3 linked regions of the Cricetulus griseus genome follow. The protein of the gene in region 3 purifies or fractionates together with the protein of the main gene of each other region. This does not show direct contact. Links are inferred from orthologs where the notes say so. Each region holds a gene or a part of one and is shown on either strand. Other genes may lie near its edges.

Region 1 (3,648 bases), on a different chromosome or scaffold from region 3:
GCTCTAATTTCTGTCTGGGTTGATAATCACAGAATGTCTGCAATGCAGCCCAGTACTGGCCCAGCATAATGGAGCTGTGACTCCTGTTAAGATGCAGGTGCAGGAGCAGATTCCTTATGAGCCCTGCTAAGATTATGTGCATCTCATGGGATGACCTGGGGAGAGTTTAGTATTAATGGACTGGGAAAATAAACAGAGCCCTGGGCTGTTCTGGGTGGCCCAGGACATTGCCAAGAAGCTGTGGACTCCAGCCACAGGGAGGGACTGGCTAACAGTAGAGGCATGGGCTCTGCCCTTGGTTCCCCATGCCTCTTCTTACTGCCCAACTCTGAGAAGCCCTCATGCCAACTAGAGTCAAGGTATTTCTCAGCTCCAACCGTGAAAATAGTATTATTTTTTTAGCTTTGTTTATTTCACATAGAGAAGGGAAATGAAGAACGGTCAATATTGGGGAGACTTTAAGTACCCACTAGAAATAAGAGGCCCCTCAAGGACAGTCTACAAAGAAGGAAAAACAATGGCCAAGTACCAGCTCGTGACCTTGAAGTCCTCAGATGTTAAAAGTAAAAATGATTTAATAATAAAAGAAAAGCAACCCTCACAGGCTTCCTGTAACGGTTAAAGAAAAGGAAATGAAGGTGGTTGAGTGTGGTAAGTGTCATCTCCCTCCTGCGCAGGGCCCAGCCAATTTGAAAGCTTAAGTGCAACCATCCCAACAATGGACAAAGTTTATTTTCAAGTTTAGAAGGCCCTGAAAGCCAGCTGCACAAAAGGACTATTCATTTCATTTCCTGCCTCTCGTGAATATAGATATGCTAGGAGCTGGCAAAGAAAGGGAGAGTGTCCCTGCTGTGGTTATCTGCTAGTTAGACATGGGGTGGAGGTTCCCATTAAACACCTTGATGTTTCCTTGTTGGCTTTTTTTCAATCTTCAAGTTAAGTTGCCCAGCAATAAGGAAAGGCAGTGTGCCATGAACTCTGACTTCATCCCAAGAGTAACCTCCCCATCTTTCACAGGATGGTAGGGGAGGGGCGGAGCACGATGGTCCAGGAACCAGATGGCAATAGCTCCTTACTGCCATGAGGGCATTAAGACCAGAATTGAAAAGATTCTCCCAATACTGCTCTTCTTGCTGGGAGAAGGAGGCAGCATCACTTCCAAACCCTGTTTATTGGGCTAGTCTAAAAAGTACATAGCCAAACAGAGTCTAGCAGCTCTGATGCCGGCTTTAACATCGTCCGTATGCATGTTAGCCATCACAGGGTGTTTGTTATTATTATTATTGCCATAATGTACTCAAATGCTACTTCTAAACTGATAGATAGAAATGAGGCTTTGAACACTTCCCCAGTCTCTCACGCAAGTGTTGGGGTCCTCAGCAGTAAGATGGGAAACTGAGGCCAGCCTTCTTTGCTCAACACTGCCCAGGTCTTCCCGGGGGCGGGACATCATGCAACTGATTCCGGAGTGCCACACTGGGCTGAATTGGAGCATCCCACGGTGGACCCAGCAATTAACATTTTCTAACAGGAGTCCCTAACACATTTGCTACTTGGATATGGGCCTAGCAAAGAATGGGAGAAATGGCTGGAGAAGCTGAGAGTCTTTATGAGAGAAGAGATGGCATGGTCTAAGTTTTCAAAAGACCCAGTTCAGCACAGAATAGAGCCCAGGCTTCCAAACATCAAAAGACAGTAATTTGATATAGATGACAAAAAATGATAGTAATTTCTTTCTCTTGAAAAATGACTGCTCTGGGAAACAGGGGAACAGTGACCTCTTAGGGAACCCAGAAGGATCTATGATGTCTGTGTCGTGAATCAGCAATGCTGTGTGTGGATAAGGCAGTAAGAAATCCACCGTGCAGCTGGCCTGTGTGTTAGATCATAAATGAAATCCAGAGAGGACGCAACTGACAGAAACCATACCCTAAGGCTGGCCACCTTCAGAGAACTTCCAGGTCTGGGAAGATTCTTAGCTGTACTGGAAAAACTCAGTATAGCAGGTTTTGGTTGTTGGGTTTTTTCATATTTTTTCTTGTTTGAGAATTTCATATATGAATATAGTGTGCTTTGATCAAACCCACCATAGTTCCTCCCTACCACTCCCCCACCCCAACTCCACATGTTCTTTTTTGAACGCACTGAGTGCACTTATGCACTGGTGTGGGACCATCTACTGGAGCCAGGTAACTTCTCAGGGGATGAATCCCTGAAGAAGATGGGACTCTCCCTCTTGCAGCAGCCATCGTTACTAAGAGTTCCTCATGTTCCTCACTGAGGAGAGGGACTTCATGGGCCCTTCCCCATCTGTGCTGTGATTTGGGTCAGCTTGATCTTGTACGGGTCTTGTATGTGTAGCTACAGACATCTATAACTCTGACAATCTTTCTGTCTCCTCTTCCTCAAACCCCTGAGCTTTGGAGAAGGGGGTAACATAGATGTCCTACGTAGAATCAAGTACTCCACAGTCTCCTGTTGTCTGCATTTATCATCATCTGCCTTAAAAGCAGGCTGCTCTGATGAGGGCTGAGAGACGCCCAGATTTATGGGCTCTTATGTGACCTACTTTGACATTGTGGAAAGCAAGCATACACTGCCCCTTTGTAAGGCAAGAGGGGGTCTTGTATTGTGTTCAGCATAAAAAGAAATCCAAGAACTAGGTCAACCTCCGAGTCTAGTAGAAGACGGTGAGTTCAGAATGCTTAAGCGAGTTAGACACTGTGGATGCCAGGGGCCTCATCCTTAGGATGCTGCCAGTGACACTCATGGCTCGTGGAAGAACATATTTCTTCACCTGCTAATGAAGACAAACTGCCTGAGGCATTTCACAATGAAACCAAACAGTGCCAGACTGAGGATGGAGTAACTGATGTTTTGCTCACTGATGACGAACAAGGACTCAGCCTTTCTCCACTTTCTCCCCACCCCTGTGCTTAATGCCCACACCATCGGCTTTGTTGTGGTTTAACGTGAGCCAGGAAAGATGCTGGCGTGTTCCCGTTTACAGCCTGCAGCACACACCAATGAACTTGCCTCCCCCATGCTGAACATTCTTGCTAATGGTCCTTACCTGACTTGATCCCTTTAATGGGGTATGTGGCATGAGCCAGGAAGTTGGGGTCACTGAACATGTCCTCCTCATAGACCACAAAGCGAAGGAATGCAAGGTTTGGATCATAAATTTCAAATGTCACCTTCTCCTGCGTTGGAGCCCAGACAGGGCTGAGGCCATTGTCATCTGGAAAAGACCAAAACTTGTTACTGACGCTTGTGCCCTGCCTCCTCGGGGTAAGACGGCCTCTGCAGTCTCGGCTTCAATCCCTCCACAGTCTAGTAAATTTAATTTGCATCCGCACCCTGGTCTAAAAAGCCCTGAAGAGTTATCTTTTGTTATTTCTTTCCCAGCAAGCAATCCTGCTGCAGGCCAGCCTTCTGTGAGCACAGGAACATGCTGCCACCTCACCCATCTCACTTCATGGGATAGGAGAATGGAAGGGGGGCAGGTGTAGAGCCGAACTGGGGGGAGGGGGAGTTCAAGAAAAGAGATGAGCAGAGGACCTGTGAGATGCACCCCGGGCCTGAAGAAGAAAGGGAGCTAGGGGTCTCTGAAGAGTGTTGGGCGTTCTCATGGATGACCAGCCTTAT
Region 2 (4,369 bases), about 220 Mb from region 3:
TGATGAGCACTATGACACCAGGAGACTCTGGGTAACAGAGGGGCCTGGTGAGGGAGTACCTACACCTTACTTCCTTCCGTTTTGCACAGTGATTTCAGGGTCAGGGAGTGAATACAGTGAACATGCTCTGAGGGAATGTGGATGAGCTGGCAGACTGCCCAGGTATGGAGTACTTGGCTTTTTCCTTCCCCATCAGCCCATAGATGCCACTGTGCACACTCACCTGTTTCTACATCATTGGCATTGGCAGAATCCCTCAGCCTCTTCAGAGCTATAAAGAGAAAAGTGACAGTTAAACAAAATCGTAACAAAACCATAAGGCACATCGCTTCCCAGTGTTCCCTGATATTCCACCCTTCCGTCACAGCAGCACAGAAAGGCAAAGGTATCGGGACAGAAACCACTAGTCTGGGAACAAGGAGAAACTGGAACTGGGCCACAGTTGGAAGAGAGACCAATTTCTGTAGAAAATTGACTTCTGGAGCCAGATCTAATTTCTGCCACTTGTCGTAGTTGGCGACCTTGAGCAAGCCAGTTACTTACCCTGGGCCCCAGCCCATCATCCGTACAACAAGGCTGACTTGTTCTGCCAGCTCTTAAGTTGTTACAAAGAAAATTGAGATAATTTTTTAAAAGAGAAAGACTGAGCAGGTTTAGTCCTTTGTGAGCTAATTGCATTCAACATTTTATTATTCTGCTTCAAAGCAGGTCATTCCTAAATGACTTACCAAACTCAGTAATTCCTAAGCAGAAACTTCCCTCTTCTCACTGATGCCACTTCTACCTTAGAACTAACAGAAAGCAATACCTTTGTTGTCAAGAGAATGGTCAAAACAACTGCAAACTAGATATAACAATTGCATATATCCATATGCCACATTTTTGTTTATACAGTCCTTTGAAATTCTCTTTTAATCTTTCTTGAGACAGGGTTTCTCTGTGTAGCCCTGGCTGTCCTGGAACTCACTCTGTAGACCAGGCTGGTCTTGAACTCACAGAGATCCACCTGCCTCTACCTCCTGAGTGCTGGTATTAAAGGCGTGCGCCACCACTGCCAGGCCCTCCTTTGATCTTTATAACACTAAGACACCAGGTGAAATGGTGCTAGTCTGAAAAGAGACCTTAAAAATTTCCAATTTATTAATCTTTCTGTATCCCATTTTCCTTTTCACCCACAAACTGCAGAAACAATATAGCAGATGGGGTTGGAATACTGGCATAGCCTTCTTCTATATGACTTGAAATCAGAATGTCCAAATGGGCTGGAGAGATGGCTCAGAGGTTGAGAGCACTGGCTGCTCTTCCAGAGGTCCTGAGTTCAATTCCCAGCAATCACATGGTGGCTCACAACCATCTATAATGAGATCTGGATCCCTCTTCTGGCACACAGGCATATATGTAGGCAGAACACTGTATACAAGATAAATAAATCTTTAAAAAAAAAAAAAAAAGCCGGGCGTTGGTGGCGCACGCCTTTAATCCCAGCACTTGGGAGGCAGAGTTCGAGACCAGCTCTGGTCTACAAGAGCTAGTTCCAGGACAGCCTCCAAAGCCACAGAGAAACCCTGTCTCGAAAAAACCAAAAAAAAAAAATGTCCAAATGGTAATAACTGACTCAGTGGGAAAAGAGGCTAGCTACAAAGCCTGATCTACTGAGTGTAATCACCAAGATTTACAGTGAACCTGGAACTTGATACTTAGCCCAGACTAGCCCTGAACTCAGAGTCCTGCTTCTGCCTCCTCAGGATTACAGGAGTACTACCACACCTGGCACACCTGGCTGTTTTTCTTTCTTTTCTTTTTTCCTTTTTTTTTTTTTTTTTTTTTTGGTTTATCCAGACAGGGTTTCTCTGTGTAGCTTTGTAGACCGGGCTGGCCTCTAACTCACAAGACATCCTCTTGCCTCTGCCTCCTGAGTGCTGGGACTAAAGGCTTATGCCACCACCACCAGGCTCTGGCTGTTTCACTTGTTTACAAGTCACTTCTTATGGGCCACAATGTATCCCTTGGAATGACTATAAAAGGTTGTGTATCAAAAGTGCTTGGTCCATCACAAAGATAGATCAGAACCTTGCCTAAGTCTTCACACCCAAGGAAAGCTGGTAGTGTACCCATTCTACAAATAGGAAAGCGAGGTCACACGTGAGTCTGTGTGGAGCAGTCTGGTTCAGATCTGTGCATCACACAAGTTGGTACAGCGTGGCCACAGCTCTGGGTTCCCTTCTCTAATAATAAAAATATTCTCCATTGTCTCACATTATTGTCTACTAACAACCACTCTCGAGAGTGGAAAGTTTTTATTCAGGGATGTCCAAGTGGCCGAAGTCACGGTCCTCAACAGCTTTAACTGCTGCGATCATTCACGAGCGACCCTAGGATCCCGGGTTGAGCTCACCGTGCACCTCCTTGCCAGTGGGCCCGAGCCTGCGGTGGGGCCTAGCGGCGCGCCTCAGCCGCCCGGCGGGGATCTTGCAGCGCAGTTCATCGCGGGGCTCGGCGTCCTGCTGCCACAGGACCTGCAGGTAGCGCAGCGGGGACTGGGCCCTGCCGGCTGCCCGGCCCGGGAGGCCTGCGCCGCCGCCCAGCGCAGCGCCTAGGTCCGCGAAGGAGAACAGGCCTCCGGCTTCCGCCAGCGGCTCCGGCGCCACCGCGCACTCGCCGTCGGAGCTCGAGCGGCCGGATCGGGACTCGTCATCCGCGACCCCGCCGGTGGCTGCCATGGCAACGGCTAGGCGCGGGCCTGGCAGCGCCAGCCTCGTTCCGGACCGACCAACGGACCCGCTTCCCTCTAGGAGAAGCCTCGCTGTCAGAGAGCGAGCGGGCGGGGCCTGCAACCACGGCAACAGAGTGCAGGCAAGCCGGGCTGTGTAGAGCGTCAGACCAATCAGAGATCGCGGAACCTGCACAACACAGCCAATCAGGCAAGGAAGGCAGAGTATAACGAGAACACTGGTTTACGGCAGTTTGTCTGGCGGGTACATAAGCCAATCATAAGTTGGGATTGCTCCGCACTAAGCGGTGTTGCTACAGGAGCCAATAAAAAAGCAGAGTTCAGTCTACTTTCCCCCACCCTCTTCTGCCAGTTCTTCCTATCGTAGATCCGGAAGGACGGCAGGCAAATACTTTGGCCAATCACCATAAGATGCTCTCCAGCCAATCGGAAAGGAAAATGAAGAAACCAAACTACTCTGATGTGTGTTTTGAATCAATGAACACAGGCACACAGAAAGAGGTTTTCCACAAAACGTACAATGATTTGAAGATCACCACGAAGCAGGTGGTAATATCTTCTAATGTAATAGATTTATCTTTGTCAGGGTTCTCTTTCCTTCACAGGGATCATTGATTTAACAAAGAATTTTACCTTATGTTATTATACAAGAGTGACCCTTCCGTAGACAAATTAGCTCAGGGCTATTTTTCAGCCTTGAAAGTCCTACCAAACACGGGCCTGAACCTGATACAAGGGGCCTGCAAGTACACACACACACACACACACACACACACACACACACACACACACACGTCATTTGCATTTGGTCAATTCATAAAAAAATAGAAAACACTTGAAAGATCAAGTAAATAAATGCCTGTATCATTGTCTTGTGGGACTCCAAGGACATGGGTTCTAGTTTTGTTCTACTCCATATTTGTAATTTGGGGGCAACTTCTTGGAGCCGGTCTTTTCACCAGGAATTTTTCTAGGTTGGATATGAATACCAGGTGCTCAGGCTAGATCCAACAAGTTGCCTTGTCTTTCCATCTTTCTTTGCCTCGACTGGTTGGCCTTTAAAGAATATTAGAGAAATTTGTACTGGTTGTCAGCATTTACAATTTGACTGCTGATGGGGCTGGAGAGATGAGTCGGAGGACCTGGATTCGATTCCCAGCACCCACATGGCAGTTCCAGAGTAATCTCTCACCCTCACACAGACATACTCTCATGTGAAATACCAGTGCACATAAAAATAAATACACCTTTAAAAAATTAGTGCTGGAGAGATGACTCGGAGGTCTTCCAGAGGTCCTGCGTTCAGTACCTAGCATGGCGGCTCACAGCCATCTGTAAGGAGATCTGGTGCCCCTTTCTGGCCCACAGGCATACATGCAGATAGAACATTATATACATAAATAAATAAGTAAATCTTGAAAGAAGGGTTTAAGAAATTCAAATCTGAGCCAGCAAGATCGACAATGGTTCTCAACCTGTAGGTCTCACATGACCCTTTCACAGAAATAGCCTAAGACCATTTGTTTATCAGATATTTATACCATCTGCATATCATATATTTACATTATGATTCATAACAGCAGCAAATTACAGTTATGAAGTAGTAATAATGTTTGGGGTTACTACAACATGAGAAAC
Region 3 (3,648 bases):
GTAGGCTAGCCTCATCACCATGACTCTGCATGATACTACACTAACCCAGAGGGCATCAGGGAGGTGAAGGAGGAAGGACCAGGCCCAGAAGCAGCAGCTGAACTAAAGGGGGGGATGGAATGGGTCTTTGGAAGCCTCCATGTTCCTTTCCAAATGCCCCCCCCCACAGACTTGACCCTTGTCTGTGGGAGAAAGGCAATCATAACTAACTTTAGTACAGTTCACAGGTACTGTAAACTGTTTACTCACACAAGCAGCCTGTGCATGCTTCAAATTCAGCCAACTGAAGACTGAAAATATGTAGAACTTTTAGGCTGAACTTTTTCCTTTTTTCTAGGCAGGGTTATTGAATCTAGGACCTTGAACATGCTAGGCAAACTTCCTACCATTGAGCTACAATCTCAGGACTGAAACTTTTATATCTATGTTTTCTTCTTCTCTGTTTGATAAGGCCATTTTCATAATAATCACAATCACATTGTATTAGACATGAGAAGTCATTCAGAGGTGATTTGAAATGTTGGGGGGTTATAGTAAAAGAGCTCTCCAGGCTCCACCCCTAACTGGGGAACTATTGGGAGTGGACAGCGGCCTGGTGAGGGAGAACAACTCTTCTGTGGAAACATGGCCACTGGGAGATGACCCCACTGTCATGCATACATGGGCAGCACTGGTTGGATTTAGTTGGCTATGAGAAAGAAAGGAAGAGGATGTGAAGTTGGAAGGGGCATGTGTGGAATGCAGGGGTGTTGGAGGAAGTAGGGGGTGAATATGACCATGTTTATTGCACAGATGTATGGAATTCTCAAAGAATACTTTTTTTTAAAAAAAATAAGGTATGTGGAGGATGCTGTAGGCTATATGTAAATACTGTGCCATTTTGTATCAAAGACAAGAACACATGGGCTTTAGCATGCATGAGCGGTACTGAAAACCATCCGTAACAGATGCTCAGAAACAACTGTATACACACATATACCACACACACACACACACACACACACACACACACACACACACACCATGCTTATCACAATCCTTTGGTGTCATGCCCATTTCAAAAGTTAAAATTCCAAGGAACAGACTGAGTGACGTTTCAAGGCCATCCTTGAAGGCATTCAAGGCAACTCTCAGAAGGAAGGGCCACATTCAAACACAAGTTCATGCTGAAGCTCAGGACAGCACTGAGTGCCTCATTTTCAGTGAGGGAGTCTCCCTTCTCTCCCCCTTTGGCAGGCTGGGGTCGGGGTGCTGCTTCATGCAAATCCAGTACAAGAAGGAAGTTAGACTTGAAGTGCTCAGAGTTCCTCCTTCTCCCTCCTCCCTGCCCTGTGCCCTATGCCTGACCAGGGTCACGCATGTGTGAGTCAACACTCAGGGGTCAGGGAAATGAAACATCCAAGCAGCTTCAGGGCAGAAGTGAGCAGGACTGGCCAACATGACTGTGGTTGTGGTACCGCATCCTTAGCAAACCCTTAGAAATCACACCAGTGGTCTCATGAGCCCCATTGAATCTATGCAATATAACAAATAAAAATGGCCTTTCAAATTGGTGTGTGTGTGTGTGTGTGTGTGTGTGTGTGTGTGTTCATGACTGTGCAGGTGCACTTGTGTTTGCAGGTATACATCACATGTTTACATGTGTGTACATGCCAGAAGATAGCCTTATCCGTCGTTCTTCAGGTGCTGCCTATCTTGTTTTTAAGAGACAGAGTATCTCACAGGCCTCAAACTTGCAAGTATGCTAGAATGGCTGGGCAGAGTCCTCAGGGATCCTCTTGTGTCCACCTCCCCAGTGCTGTGCCACCGTACCCAGCCTTTTCCTTTTTAAAGGTGAGTCCTGGTAACTAACTAGGTTATGACTGAGCTATTTCCCAAATTCTATAGTGGCCATCTTAAGTAGCATGTGACACAGAGCCAAACTTCTTAGGTAGCACATCAGTAAAGAAAGAACCTAATGTCTGTCCTTGTTGGGAGAAATAATAGAGGTGCCCACAGCCACACTTGAAAGCGAAGTTCTTTTTGCTCTATTCCTGCTGCCTTGACAAGAGCTATGGTCAAGGTGCTGCCAGGATCTGGGCACACTTACTCTTCCAGGACTTTCATCTTTTCTCCTTTCTTGAAGGACAAGTCATCTGGGTGGATGCCATCGTAGGGGTACAAGGCTACCACAATGTCCCCTTGTTCCTCTGGATCTAAGAACAAAAGATATAAGCAAAACACTTTCAAAACCTATCAACATAAACACAAAGGAAGGAAAGAAGCAGTGGAGAGAAGGGCCAGGGAATGAAGCTGTGTGCTTCCCACCTACAAATAATACCAGCTGCGGGCTGGAGAGATGGCTCAGAGGTTAAGAGCACTGACTGTTCTTCCAGAGGTCCTGAGTTCAATTCCCAGCAACCACATGGTGGCTCACAGCCATCTCATTATGAGATCTGGTGCACTTTCTGGTGTGCAGATATACATGGAAGCAGAATATTGTATACATAATAAATAAATAAATAAAATCTTAAAAAAAAGAAAACAACAACAACAACAAAAATAATACCAGCTGCATACTGTGTACACCAAGCCCAGGAACCTACTATAATTTCAAAACTATGTTTAGGACAGAATATACGTCTGATCATGGCAGCACTGTCATGGTCCCCCAAAGGCAGAAGCTACTCTAGTATCCATCAGTGGAATGAACAAAATGTGACATATACATATAATAGAATAATATTAAATCAAAAAGAATCGAAGTTCTGGCACACAATATATTATAGATGAGCCTTGAAAACCTCATGTTAAATTAAATGAGCCAGGCACAAATGACAAAGACTGTATAATTTCCATTCACGTGTGCTACCTAGAGCAATCAAATCCGCAGGGACAGAAAGTATAATGGTGGCTGCCCAGAGCAGAAGGGAGTGGAGAAGCAAGGGTGTTTAATGATAGAGTTCCACTTGGGATAATGGAAACCTTCTGTCATGGATGCTGGTGAGGTTTGCACAGCAATGTGGACTTCCTGCCTCTGAACTCCACATTTAAAACATGGTTAAAGGCATGATAAATTTATGATATATATATATATATATATGTATGTATATATATATATATTTTCCCACAACAACAAACAGAATATTAACTATATTGCTAAGAAAACATACCTTTTGTTTGAAACCTCTGTCCTGGTAAAAGTTGAGATTCTGGAACCTACGAAAGAGTATTCGTTAGGGAAAAAAATATCATGATCAACTTTTTCTTGCATGCATGCTGCTAACATCTTTCTAACAGCAACAAGTGAGGTTTAGATTTGCAGTTACTAAGCAGGAAAGATGAGCTGAACAGAAAAGCTTATAGGGTGTTGCCACTGCCTCAGAGCAAGGGCTCAGAGCAAGGCTCCAGCATCCAATGCCATCTTCCTCAGGTCCCACCTGTACAGTCCTTTTCAGGGCTTTTTCTGGACATGTAGTTCTTGGTCTGTATCAACAGGTCAAGTGAGTAGGGCTTCATGAGTTGGGGACTAGAGGCCAGCCCGCCATGATCCTTTCTCTTGCTTTTAACAGAGTGCTAATATTTGAGGTGGCAGTTTGCCTAGTGTGATAGCTGCTTCTAGACTTACAGCTCCCTATGTAGAAGGGGAAGAAGCATGGCATAAACTCA

Evidence for each region.
Region 1: the proteins of Lyn (region 3) and Plcg2 purify together in Homo sapiens (affinity purification with western blotting; 3 studies listed by BioGRID, with this or other methods). This does not show direct contact. The link is inferred for Cricetulus griseus from reciprocal best matches to the Homo sapiens genes LYN and PLCG2.
Region 2: the proteins of Lyn (region 3) and Ankrd54 purify together in Homo sapiens (affinity purification with mass spectrometry; 3 studies listed by BioGRID and IntAct, with this or other methods). This does not show direct contact. The link is inferred for Cricetulus griseus from reciprocal best matches to the Homo sapiens genes LYN and ANKRD54.

Annotation. Positions count from the first base shown.
Region 1 is NC_048596.1:194,234,747-194,238,394, reverse strand, and holds part of Plcg2 (1-phosphatidylinositol 4,5-bisphosphate phosphodiesterase gamma-2), read right to left. Parts: intron 3,242-3,648; coding exon 3,074-3,241; intron 1-3,073. UniProt on the Homo sapiens protein: The production of the second messenger molecules diacylglycerol (DAG) and inositol 1,4,5-trisphosphate (IP3) is mediated by activated phosphatidylinositol-specific phospholipase C enzymes. It is a crucial enzyme in transmembrane signaling.
Region 2 is NC_048595.1:376,177,489-376,181,857, forward strand, and holds the start of Ankrd54 (ankyrin repeat domain-containing protein 54), read right to left. Parts: upstream 2,820-4,369; 5' UTR 2,721-2,819; coding exon 2,396-2,720; intron 272-2,395; coding exon 224-271; intron 1-223. UniProt on the Homo sapiens protein: Plays an important role in regulating intracellular signaling events associated with erythroid terminal differentiation.
Region 3 is NC_048595.1:156,369,575-156,373,222, forward strand, and holds part of Lyn (tyrosine-protein kinase Lyn), read right to left. Parts: intron 3,199-3,648; coding exon 3,153-3,198; intron 2,196-3,152; coding exon 2,090-2,195; intron 1-2,089. UniProt on the Homo sapiens protein: Non-receptor tyrosine-protein kinase that transmits signals from cell surface receptors and plays an important role in the regulation of innate and adaptive immune responses, hematopoiesis, responses to growth factors and cytokines, integrin signaling, but also responses to DNA damage and genotoxic agents.